3 linked regions of the Rattus norvegicus genome follow. The protein of the gene in region 3 interacts with the protein of the main gene of each other region in a pairwise test. Links are inferred from orthologs where the notes say so. Each region holds a gene or a part of one and is shown on either strand. Other genes may lie near its edges. The genes, in order: Hes6, Foxa2 and Tle1.

What was found.
Region 1: the proteins of Tle1 (region 3) and Hes6 interact in binary tests that used the Homo sapiens proteins (3 or more experiments, as listed by UniProt). The link is inferred for Rattus norvegicus from reciprocal best matches to the Homo sapiens genes TLE1 and HES6.
Region 2: the proteins of Tle1 (region 3) and Foxa2 interact in a two-hybrid assay, tested with the Homo sapiens proteins (2 studies listed by BioGRID and IntAct). The link is inferred for Rattus norvegicus from reciprocal best matches to the Homo sapiens genes TLE1 and FOXA2.

Annotation. Positions count from the first base shown.
Region 1 is NC_086027.1:99,448,827-99,452,165, forward strand, and holds Hes6 (transcription cofactor HES-6), read right to left. Parts: upstream 2,271-3,339; 5' UTR 2,174-2,270; coding exon 2,093-2,173; coding exon of another isoform or gene 2,017-2,092; coding exon 1,930-2,016; intron 1,850-1,929; coding exon 1,768-1,849; intron 1,530-1,767; coding exon 1,105-1,529; 3' UTR 557-1,104; downstream 1-556. UniProt on the Homo sapiens protein: Does not bind DNA itself but suppresses both HES1-mediated N box-dependent transcriptional repression and binding of HES1 to E box sequences.
Region 2 is NC_086021.1:155,923,625-155,927,369, reverse strand, and holds the start of Foxa2 (hepatocyte nuclear factor 3-beta), read left to right. Parts: upstream 1-881; 5' UTR 882-1,003; coding exon 1,004-1,090; intron 1,091-1,550; exon of another isoform or gene 1,551-2,099; coding exon 2,100-3,410; 3' UTR 3,411-3,745. UniProt on the Homo sapiens protein: Transcription factor that is involved in embryonic development, establishment of tissue-specific gene expression and regulation of gene expression in differentiated tissues.
Region 3 is NC_086023.1:90,978,416-90,982,160, forward strand, and holds the start of Tle1 (transducin-like enhancer protein 1), read right to left. Parts: upstream 2,514-3,745; 5' UTR 2,404-2,513; coding exon 2,380-2,403; intron 1,742-2,379; coding exon 1,641-1,741; intron 323-1,640; exon of another isoform or gene 317-322; coding exon 253-316; intron 154-252; coding exon 109-153; intron 1-108. UniProt on the Homo sapiens protein: Transcriptional corepressor that binds to a number of transcription factors. Inhibits NF-kappa-B-regulated gene expression. Inhibits the transcriptional activation mediated by FOXA2, and by CTNNB1 and TCF family members in Wnt signaling.

The sequences.
Region 1 (3,339 bases), on a different chromosome or scaffold from region 3:
CTTTCACAGCAAGCACTCCCTCTCTTTACAGTGGCACCAGGGGAAATGCCTACCAAGAAAAGTGACAAGTGGGTCCACCAGTTGGCTCAGCTAATAAAAAGGCTTCCCAAACAACCTGAGGACCCAAGTTTGATCGTGGAAAACCAACCCCCAAGTTATCCTCTGACTTTCTTATATACGCCTATACGCGCATACAATATTTTTAAAAAGGAAAAAAAATGGCATCCTGAGAAAGATTGACATCTGCACCACACTCATGAACCTGAGGCCAAGCCTTTGAGAGACACTTCCAAGGCAAAGAGCTAGTAACTAGTCACCAATGGTAGTCCTGGGAGCTCAGGAGAGAACAGTACAAGGACAGGCCATCTCCCTGTGGCTTAGTTACCCTGGAGACAAACCCCATGCTAGTGGAATCGTCTGGACACATACTCCAGGCCAAGTGGGAGAGCCCAGAGGACCGGGCCAGCAGGTGGGGCCACACGAATGCACTTAGTGTTGGATGCAGTTGAACAGTCACACATCTGACACAACAACGGCACACCAGGGGCGACTAACTCCAGAGTTCTTTATTTAATTGGAACATCCGACGGCAACCACATTCACACACACAACTGTTACAAACAGGGAGCACCTCTCAGTGACTGCGGAATATGCTTGCCTCTCCTGGTCTCCTAGCCAGAGTAGCAAATCTGAACTTCTATTCAGGTCAGGACTGCTATGGCCTGTGTGTCCCTGCCCAGGACACTCATGCTCAGCCTCAAGATTGGCCACTTCTGCCCTAGATCCTAGGGAAAGGTGAACATGAGGGAGTCCTGGTAGCACTACAGGAGTCTCCCTTCTTTCTGTAGTGTCCTCCCCCACCCCCACCCTGGCCCCCATCCAGAGCTCTAGGGTCCATGAAATTGATTCCCTCACAAAATAGTGCTAGGGACCTGCAGGGGCTGGTCATCAGGGTTACCATACAAGCCATCCATTCATTGGACAGTGGGGAAGGCATATCTGGGGGTTATCCTGGGCTATCTCCACCTCATCTGATAGCCAAGAAGGAAGCAAACTTAAGGATGGCAGCCCACCCACCATTCACAGGTCCCTGGTAAGTGTTGGTCACCAAGGTCTCCACACACTCTGGGCCCGGCGAGCTGTGGTCAGGATGCCTAAGGATGTGGGCACCAAATCTGGCCCCTCGGCAGGCACCCGGTTTAGTTCAGCCTCCGGGATCTCCTCTAGGTCAGAACACAGGTCGTCCCCGGGACCTGGGGGACTGGACAATGGGGACTCTGGGGACCCTCCTGGAGGCCAGCTGCTCCTCCCAGAGCCTCCGGGCAGCCCAGCTAGGGAGTCCCCCAGCAGATCCCGAAAGCTGCTACCCTCGCGCAGCGGCATGGACTCTAGCAGGTGGTTCAGGAGTTCAGCTGAGACAGTGGCATCGATGGCTTGGCACGTGGACACGAACGTGTGCACCTCATGCATGCATTGGATGTAGCCAGCAGCGAAGCGCTCGCTTGCTTCAGCCTGCAGCTGCTCCCGCTCTGTGCAGGAGGGTGGGAAGAAGAGAGCGGCATCCCGCACAGTGAGCAGTGACTACTGTGGTTCTGACGATCCGCTCCGCGGGTTCGGGGCTCACCCAGGAGACGCATTAACGTGTCCTGCTCTGGGGGGAGCCCTCACCATGTACAGGACCGAGGCTCCGGGAGCCGACGTGTCCGGCTCTTGGATGGCAGGCATGCCCGGTCAGCGCCCCCGCCCTCGATCCCCGCCGCCACTCACCGCGAGCCCGGCCTCGCAGAGCGCCCTGCACGCGTCGCACGGTCAGCTCCAGCACCTCGGCGTTCTCTAGCTTGGCCTGCACCTGCGCAGAGGGTAAAGGAGTTGAGTTCGGCTGTGTCCGGGGCGCACCCTGAAGACCCCCCCGCACTCTTTCCGCCGCACCTCGGTGCCCGCTAGCAGCAGCCGCAACTCCTGAAGACTCTCGTTGATCCGCGCGCGTCGCTTCTTCTCCACCAGGGGCTTCCGGGCCTGTGGGAAACGGCTACTGAGCCCCTGGCCCGTGCAGCCTCCCGCAGGCCCATCCACCCGCAGCCCCTGTCCGCACCTTGCGGTCCCCCCGTGCTTCCCAACGGTCCTCATCCTCCTGGCCTGCACGGTCCCTGTTGGGCGCCTGGGGCGGAGCCATGGTCCACAGCGCCCGGAGCCCGGCGCCCAGCGCCTTAGTGCAAACCCCTCTGCGAGGTAGGTCGCAGCCCAGAGGCCTCACTAGCTATCCCCAGTCTTCCGCCCCGTGGGGCCCCGCCCCTTTTATAGCAACTTATTTACATATCAATGCACCGATTGGCTGTGTGTGATCGGAGCGGCCAGCGCGAGGCAGCCTACAGCCAATGAGAGCCGCGCGCTTTGTTAGGCTCCGGGGGGTGTGAGGGGGGCTCTGGCAGCTGGCGGGGCGGAGCCCACAGTCCGACCTCCTGCCACTTACTCAGGGGTTGGACTCCTGGGCAGTGACCTCCGGCTACTCTCCTGCTGGTGTGCTTGTACTTCCCTCCGCCGAGTTTTGAGCCCCAATCTTCCAACCTGTAAGCCCGGGGTTAGCTATACATTCTTCGGTCCGTACATCTATCCATTCCTCCCTTTCACCCACCCCTTCACCCATCCATCCTTATGGCGCATTTGCTTCCCCTGGTTCACCAAAAGTGCTCTCCAGAAAAGCGCTCCAGTCCCAGAGCCGGTTTCAGTCAGGGCATTGCCAAAGTCAAGTCCATGCCCTCGGGACCTGGAAGGAGCTTCGGGTCACGGGTGGTGAGAGTGCAAAGTCCAGGGAAAGTGGGGGCCATTTTAGCAGCAGGACCAGGATCCTAGTGTGGTTTTTGAACTCATGAGGACACCTATAACTTTCTTACTCCAAGGTCCTCGGTCGTTCTTACTGAACCTCTCTTTCTCTGTGTTCTAAGTCACACAACCACTACCTTGTCTATTCTAGCTCCACCCCCGACCGCCCCCTTCCCCCAAGCTTCTCCTTCCTAGTTCATCACCACGTACCCGCCTAAGCTCCTCTTATTCCCCTCTAGTCCCTCCGCACCCCCATCCAGTGGTCTCACATATCCCTGTCCCTCAAGCCCACGCTCACATCCCTTCCCCGCGAGTCCCCTTAGTGTCCCCCACCCCCACTCAGCTCCTCCCCCTTCCATCCTTGGTTCCTGCAGGCCAAGGCTGCCGTCTGGCCCCGGTAACTTGATGCCCGTGACAGTTGGCAGCTGCAGCCGCTTCGGCAGAGAAAAGCGGCAGCCCGGCCAGGAGCGACAGGTGTTGGCCGCGCCTTTGTCTCGCTGGCTTTGTCCCGCAGGCTGC
Region 2 (3,745 bases), on a different chromosome or scaffold from region 3:
TTAACTGTAACGGGGAGGGGCCTCTGGAGCAGCGGCCAGCGAGTTAAAGGTGTGTACACAGTTTTTCTAAATAGGAAAGCGCTTTGCAAATTGGCTGTCACCTGCTTGTTGTTTTGACAGGGAATGTGCACCGAAAGGGAGGAAACCCGAGATAAATAAATCTGGCTTGCCTAGGCTTCGCTGGGCACCAAGGCGGTACGCGCCTTCGGATTGACGAACCCGGTGCTCCAGGCGATGAGGAGGGGCGGGGCGGGAGCAGGAGACCTGAGTTTCTCCAAGGGTGGCCCGATCCCAGATCTCTGGGTCCACGGAAGACTCCCCGTGGACGCAAAGGAAGGGACTCCACCAGGGCGCCAGCGCGCCTGCTTGCAGGTCCAGGTCTTGGGAGAGCAGGGGACAGCGGGAGATGGGCTAGCTCGGGGCGCCCAGCGGCAGGTGCGGAGCGCTAGCCCTGGCTTCCTCTCACCTAAGTGTGAGCTGATTATTCAAATGGGCTGCCCGGGGTCTGGGGATTGGAGGCCCGCGCCAGCGCACCGCGCTATATCACCAGCCGCTCACGTCATTGCGGCACTTGTCCGCTGCGAGGTCCACACCTCCTCCTCCTCCTCCTCCTCCTCCCCCTCCTCTCGCTCTCCCCCCGCCCGCCCCCGCGCCGCTAGCTTCCCGCCGCCTCCCGGCACCTCTACACTGCCAGCCTCAGCCTGCACCGGCAGCCCCGGGAGCGCGGAGACGGAGTGCACGCCCGACGGCGAGCCTCGGGTTCCGGCCTCCAGGGTTCTTCGGCCCCCTCCTCCGCCAGCCACCTTCCCGCCCACTCCCAGCTACCTCCCGCGGCAGGCCGCGGGAGAGAGAGGAAGTGGAGCCCAGAGAGGCAGAGAGGGGGAGCGCGAGAGAGGGCGGGAGGGAGGGGACGGTGCCATAGCTGACTTTTTTTTTTTTTAAGAGGGTGGGGGTGGGGGCTGATTGCTGGTCGTTTGTTGTGGCTGTTAAATTTTAAACCGCCATGCACTCGGCTTCCAGTATGCTGGGAGCCGTGAAGATGGAAGGGCACGAGCCATCCGACTGGAGCAGCTACTACGCGGAGCCTGAGGTAAGCTCTTGCCTTCGCCAGGGAGAAGTGGGGTGACAGCTATCTCCGCGTCCCCAGCCTCCGCACGCTCCCTTCACCGGTACCCGCCCCCCCCCACCTCTAGCCTTCCTGGACAGCCGCCTTTTCCGCCCTCCTTCTACTCAAATGGGTCTCTTTTTTATACGACACACTGTTAGCCTTGAGATAATATTAACTTTGTGATCAAATATTGACTTGCGGCGCCTCCAAATCCTCTTCGTGGCCGAGCCACGCACTATCCTAACAGAGTTATGTTTGGCAGCGCGCGGCTGGGGAGGGGTGGGAGGTCGGCTGGTGAGGGGGTGGGGAGCTGGAGAAGAGAAGGTGGGTAGGAGTTGGGGACAGAGGTGCAGGCAAAGAATCAAAGACTAGTGGACAAAGAGAAAAAAGTTTGTCGCCACGAAGCCGGGACACTAACAGTTCCTAGCCGAGTTGGCCGTACCTTCCTTATTCCTCCACGCAGTGCCTCCAGCTGCTCCCGGACTCTGTGCAGGCACTGCGCTTCACTCCCCTGTAACTAAAGAGTCGGGTCCCAGTATGAAGCCCCAGAACAGGGACACTGAGATGATTTCCACTTGAGACTGCCCTAGTGACGTTCCAAGGGTGGCTTTTGGCGACCAGGGGTAGCAACGGAGATTTCCGGCCTTGGTGCTGACTCAGTGTGCTAGCCAGCTGGTGTGAGGAGCCCCTAGGGAGAGTAAAATGGATTTGAGGCTCCTGACTTGTTGGCGATCCAGGACTCCAAAGTTCTAGAATGAGGGCGAGGCTGAGCCTCAGACCCAGAACGGCAACCCGCTGGCCCTCGGGCTACCACCTTTCCAGGACTCTCTGAGGCCCAGAGGACTTGGTGTTGGTGCACTGGGACCCAGGGAAAGAAAGAGATCCCGGAGGCCTGCACGAAGGCGGGGGACTGGGTGCAACCTATGGGTGAGAGGATCGGGCGAGCTCAGCCTAGGTGCTAACCTGTCTCCTCCCCGGGCTCTGTCCGCAGGGCTACTCTTCCGTGAGCAACATGAACGCCAGCCTGGGGATGAATGGCATGAACACTTACATGAGCATGTCCGCGGCTGCAATGGGCAGTGGTTCCGGCAACATGAGCGCAGGCTCCATGAACATGTCATCCTATGTGGGCGCTGGAATGAGCCCGTCGCTGGCTGGCATGTCCCCGGGCGCGGGCGCCATGGCGGGCATGAGCGGCTCAGCTGGGGCGGCCGGCGTGGCGGGCATGGGACCGCACCTGAGTCCGAGTCTGAGCCCACTCGGGGGACAGGCGGCCGGGGCTATGGGTGGCCTTGCTCCCTACGCCAATATGAACTCCATGAGTCCTATGTACGGGCAGGCGGGCCTGAGCCGCGCTCGGGACCCCAAGACGTACCGGCGCAGCTACACTCACGCCAAGCCTCCCTACTCGTACATCTCGCTCATCACCATGGCCATCCAGCAGAGCCCCAACAAGATGCTGACGCTGAGCGAGATCTATCAGTGGATCATGGACCTCTTCCCTTTCTACCGGCAGAACCAGCAGCGCTGGCAGAACTCCATCCGTCATTCTCTCTCCTTCAACGACTGCTTTCTCAAGGTGCCCCGCTCGCCAGACAAGCCTGGCAAGGGCTCCTTCTGGACCCTGCACCCTGACTCTGGCAACATGTTCGAGAACGGTTGCTACCTGCGCCGCCAGAAGCGCTTCAAGTGTGAGAAGCAACTGGCGTTGAAGGAAGCAGCGGGTGCGGGCAGTGGCGGAGGCAAGAAGACCGCTCCTGGGACACAGGCTTCTCAGGTTCAGCTCGGGGAGGCCGCAGGCTCGGCCTCTGAGACTCCGGCGGGCACCGAGTCCCCCCATTCCAGCGCTTCTCCGTGTCAGGAGCACAAGCGAGGTGGCCTGAGCGAGCTGAAGGGAACACCTGCCTCTGCGCTGAGTCCTCCGGAGCCGGCGCCCTCGCCTGGGCAGCAGCAGCAGGCTGCAGCCCACCTGCTGGTCCCACCTCACCATCCTGGCCTGCCACCAGAGGCCCACCTGAAGCCCGAGCACCATTACGCCTTCAACCACCCCTTCTCTATCAACAACCTCATGTCCTCCGAGCAGCAACATCATCACAGCCACCACCACCATCAGCCCCACAAAATGGACCTCAAGACCTACGAACAGGTCATGCACTACCCTGGGGGCTACGGTTCCCCCATGCCAGGCAGCTTGGCCATGGGCCCAGTCACGAACAAAGCCGGCCTGGATGCCTCGCCCCTGGCTGCAGACACTTCCTACTACCAGGGAGTGTACTCCAGGCCTATTATGAACTCGTCCTAAGAAGATGGCTTTCAGGCCCTGCCTAGCTCTGGCCACTGGGGAGAAGGACAAGGGAAATGACAGGCTGAGTGGAAACATTGGGGGAACTTTGAGGAAAAAGTAGCCACCACACTTAAGGCCCCAAAGGAGCAGTTTCACCTGTCTGTGTCCCTAAATAGCTGGGCCACACTGATCTGTCATTCTAAATAGGGAAGGGAATGGAAATATATATGTATACACATAAACTTGTTTTAATGGAGCCTTTGGTTCCCACTATGTAGACTACTGCTTCTCAAGGCACCTGCAGATTTTGATTTTTGTTCTTGTTCTCTCTCTATTGCTGTCGTTGCAGAGAA
Region 3 (3,745 bases):
AAACAGCCCACAAACACCCACCCCTTAACATGTGGTTACCGAGGACAAAGCCGGTACAGTGAAAGCCTACAAACTGATTTCGAAGCTTAAGATTTAGCTATAGCTTACCTGTTTATGCATTTCAATGTTTAATCCATATGACATTTCATAATACTGTAAAGAGAAGAACCAGGCATGCCGTTAACTCACGGTTGTGGGAAGGACACACACCATTACAGAAAGAGAAAAGGTCCTCCTCGCTTTGATACCTACCATCACGTAGTGTCTCTGCATTTCTGTCTTTTCACTTGCCAATTTCTCACACTCCAATTTAAGACTATGAAAACAAAACAGGCAGCTTAAGGTAAACATTATGTCACTTGTTTTAACATCTGCCTCCCATATTTGCACTTCAAGCAAAAACAATTTAGAAAAGTTGTAAGCTGGGCATACTTCCTAAAAGCTGTCTTTGTATTCCATGCTGGAAAAGGTGAACAACGGGGAATATCCACCAACTACTGTCCTTTTTTGTTCGTGGGGCACACGTCCCGTAGAGAGGCCAAGAACGGAAACACAGATCTCTCAGCTGTCCTCCCCTCTCTTGACCGCACCAAAGTCTGTCCTTTGCACAACCCCCATTCTCCAGCAAAGACAGTCTTCAGGTCTGAAAACTTTACTGGTAAGTAAAGTTACTCCTCTCAGTGACTAGTGCCTTTCAAAACCTTTTGAATCCCTGCCAAGACATGACAAGCAGCTACAGCAAACGAAGTGGGTTGAAGTTCTTCTGTCCCTGTTCAGTAAACAGTGTGTGCAAGTATGCCTCAAGTTCTGGAGATACGGTATAAAAGTAGATAAAAGGTCAAAAATCAGAGTCCCTGACTAACTTTAGAAAATTCACACCCAAGCCACCAAGCTTCTCCTTGGTCCTTTTTCTCAAGCATGATAAAAGTAAAAATCTTCGAAGAAACTGCTTTGCGCCAATTAGTCAAAACCTCATAGTAGAAAAATAAGTAGCTTTTCTGGACTATTCACTACAGATGGGGCTTTTAGCTATAATTTCCACTAACCAATCCAAAGAAGAAGGTATGATTACATAAAGAACCCAGAACAGAGGTGAATGTGATTCTAGTTCCCTAGTCTATCCAAACACCCCAGAGTGTGGGCCACGCATAACTACATCTTACCACCTAATCACCCTTGATGGGCACAGCTAAACCCATCTAGCCTTCCCTAATGGACTTTGTCTCAGGCAACCCAATTTTCTAGTATGGCAAACAGCGATTGCAACACGGCTTTGCTTTCCTGAACGCACATTCTAGGACTGAGCCATTGATTGAACCCATGTTTCAGTTCAGCCTGTTGCAAAACAAATAAACGAAGCGCAAATATTGACGGTTCTCATGCAACTCCAAAATACACGAAAAGGGACTCCCTGGAACTGCCACAAATGCGCAAAGGGGAAACAATGGGAGGAGGAGGAGACAACAGAAGGGACGGCCCAGGAAGAGCGACGAAAGGGGGGTAATGTGAATGACAGGACTTAACTGTGACTCCACACGCCACCGCCTGGACACAAGCCCTAAGTACAACAGCCCTAGCAGCCTGGCCTGTGTGAGAAGAGACCCCCCAAGTGACCACCACCCGAGCAGGTCGACACGCACCTGTGATACTGCGCCTGCAGGAACTGGAATTCCTCTTTAATCCGGTCCAGGGACTCCGGGATAGTGAACTTAAAGGGCTGGCCTGCAGCCTGGTGCGGCGTCTGCAGGTGACCAGCAAGGGTAACCAAGGGAGGAGATATGAGGATGAGGGCATAAAGCAGAAAAGTCAGAAGAGGGAGAAGCAGATGGGACATAAACAAAAAATAAATAAATAAATAAATAAATAAATAAATAAATAAATAAAGTTAGAGGTGGTGGAAAACGGAGGCCCAAACTCGAGCCCTCGGTTCACTTTAGTGAGGGAGAAAGCAGATCTTCCTGGGACCCTGATTTCTCAGGAGGTTCAGAAATAAGTCTGCCTCCAGTGTGGACAGTGTGTGCCCAGTGCTCTGGGGTCACCCGGCCCGGAGGAGGCTGAGAAGGACCAAGTCAGAGCTCCACTGTCCCGGCTGCCCCTCCCCAACCGGTGCGAGAAAGACCCAGGATCTGGAGATGAAATGCCAACTCCCTCTCGGCCCCTAGTCCCGGAGTGACCGGGCCGCACTGACTACAAGTAAACAGGCAAGACGAGGGCAAAGCAGGGATCACTCCTGCCTCGGGATAAGCGGGCAGTGACTACGCGACGCCCGTCCGCCCGTCTGCCCGTCTAGACATCCAGTAGGAGGGGGGGCGGGCAAGGGAAAATGGGGCTTCCTGGGCTCCCGCGCGGGGCAAGGTCCCACCCGCGCCGACGACTCACTGGGTGCCGGCTCTGAGGGAACATCGCTCTGGCAGCAGCCGCGGCTCTGTTCCGGGATAGCTCTATCCTCCGCGCCACTTCCAACTTGAATTCCACCGAGGAACGCGAAGCAGCGCAGCAGGCCGGCGCACGGGGCGCTCGGGATGCAAGGCCAGGGCGCGACGGGTGCGGCCCCCGCCCTCAGGGCCACATTGCGGGCGGCTCGGCCCCGCGCCTGGGAGTCTGAGCAGCGGGGGCGCCCGGACCTACCGCGGCCCTCCACCCGGTGCCCGGGGTGCGCTCCCTTCGGTGGCTCACGGATGCAGGGGGGCTGTGTGTCTCCTCCCTGCGTCGGCGGCTGTGCAGGTGGCGCCTTGGCTAAAACCCACGTAGACAGCCAGAGGCGAGCGCCGCTTCTCGGGTCGGGAGGTCACCCGCTCCCACGACGGTGTGCTCCGGGTTACCCCCGGCTCGTCGACCGGCGTTGCAGAGTCTCCGGCGCGGCTTGAAGCTGCGGAGCCCAAGCAGGGTCCAGGCAGGGTCACGCCAGTATGCGCTCTTCCTCCAGTCCACGGCTACTGCTCGCGGTGCAGCTCTTTGGCCGCCCGCCGCGCCCCTGCCCCGGGCATCAGGCCGCCGGGCGCTTTACCCGGCTCTAACACTCCTAGAGCCTGCCTTCCCCTCCTCGGCTCTAAGCAAAGGGCTGACCAGCTCCAGCCGGCGCAAAGTTCTCTCACGACCCGGAGGCAAACGTCCGCGCGACGGAGAGCACGCTGCCGCTCTGCCTCCCTCCACAGAGGGCCACGTCGAAGGCGAGTCCCGGCTCCTGCCCCGGGACGCGGGGTCCCCGCCGCTGCTCCTGCCGCCGCCCGCGCCTCTTGCGCCGCTTACATTAACACGCGGTTTCACACTCGCTAGCAAACCAGCACCCCGCCCGAGCAGTGTGGCGGGGGCTGCAAGCACCCAGGCGGCCACGGACGTGGGCGGAGCCGCAGCCGCTCGGCCAACCACGTGCGCCGCTCCAACGTGGGTTACTGACGCATGCCGGCCACAGCCTGTGTTGGCCTTCGCTCCGCCCACCTCGCGCGGCCTCTGTGCCTTGTTTCCCCGCCCACCCGCCGGTGCCCCTCCTCCGCCAGCGCGTCCTGTGCGCTCTGAGTGCCGCGGCGCCCGAGGAGCTGCGGGGCACCCACGCCAGCCAATGGGGAGCGGCTAGACGCCGAGATTGGCAAGCCGCTTCCGAAGGTCGGTGGGAAGGAGAGCGGCGGGCCGGGCTGTCAATCAAAGTAACGTGGGGCGAGTTAGGGAGCGCGCCAGTGCGCGCGAGCCGAGCGACCTGCGCGCGGCAGGCAAGAAAAAGCAGGGGGCTGAAGTTTGCAGAAGCCTG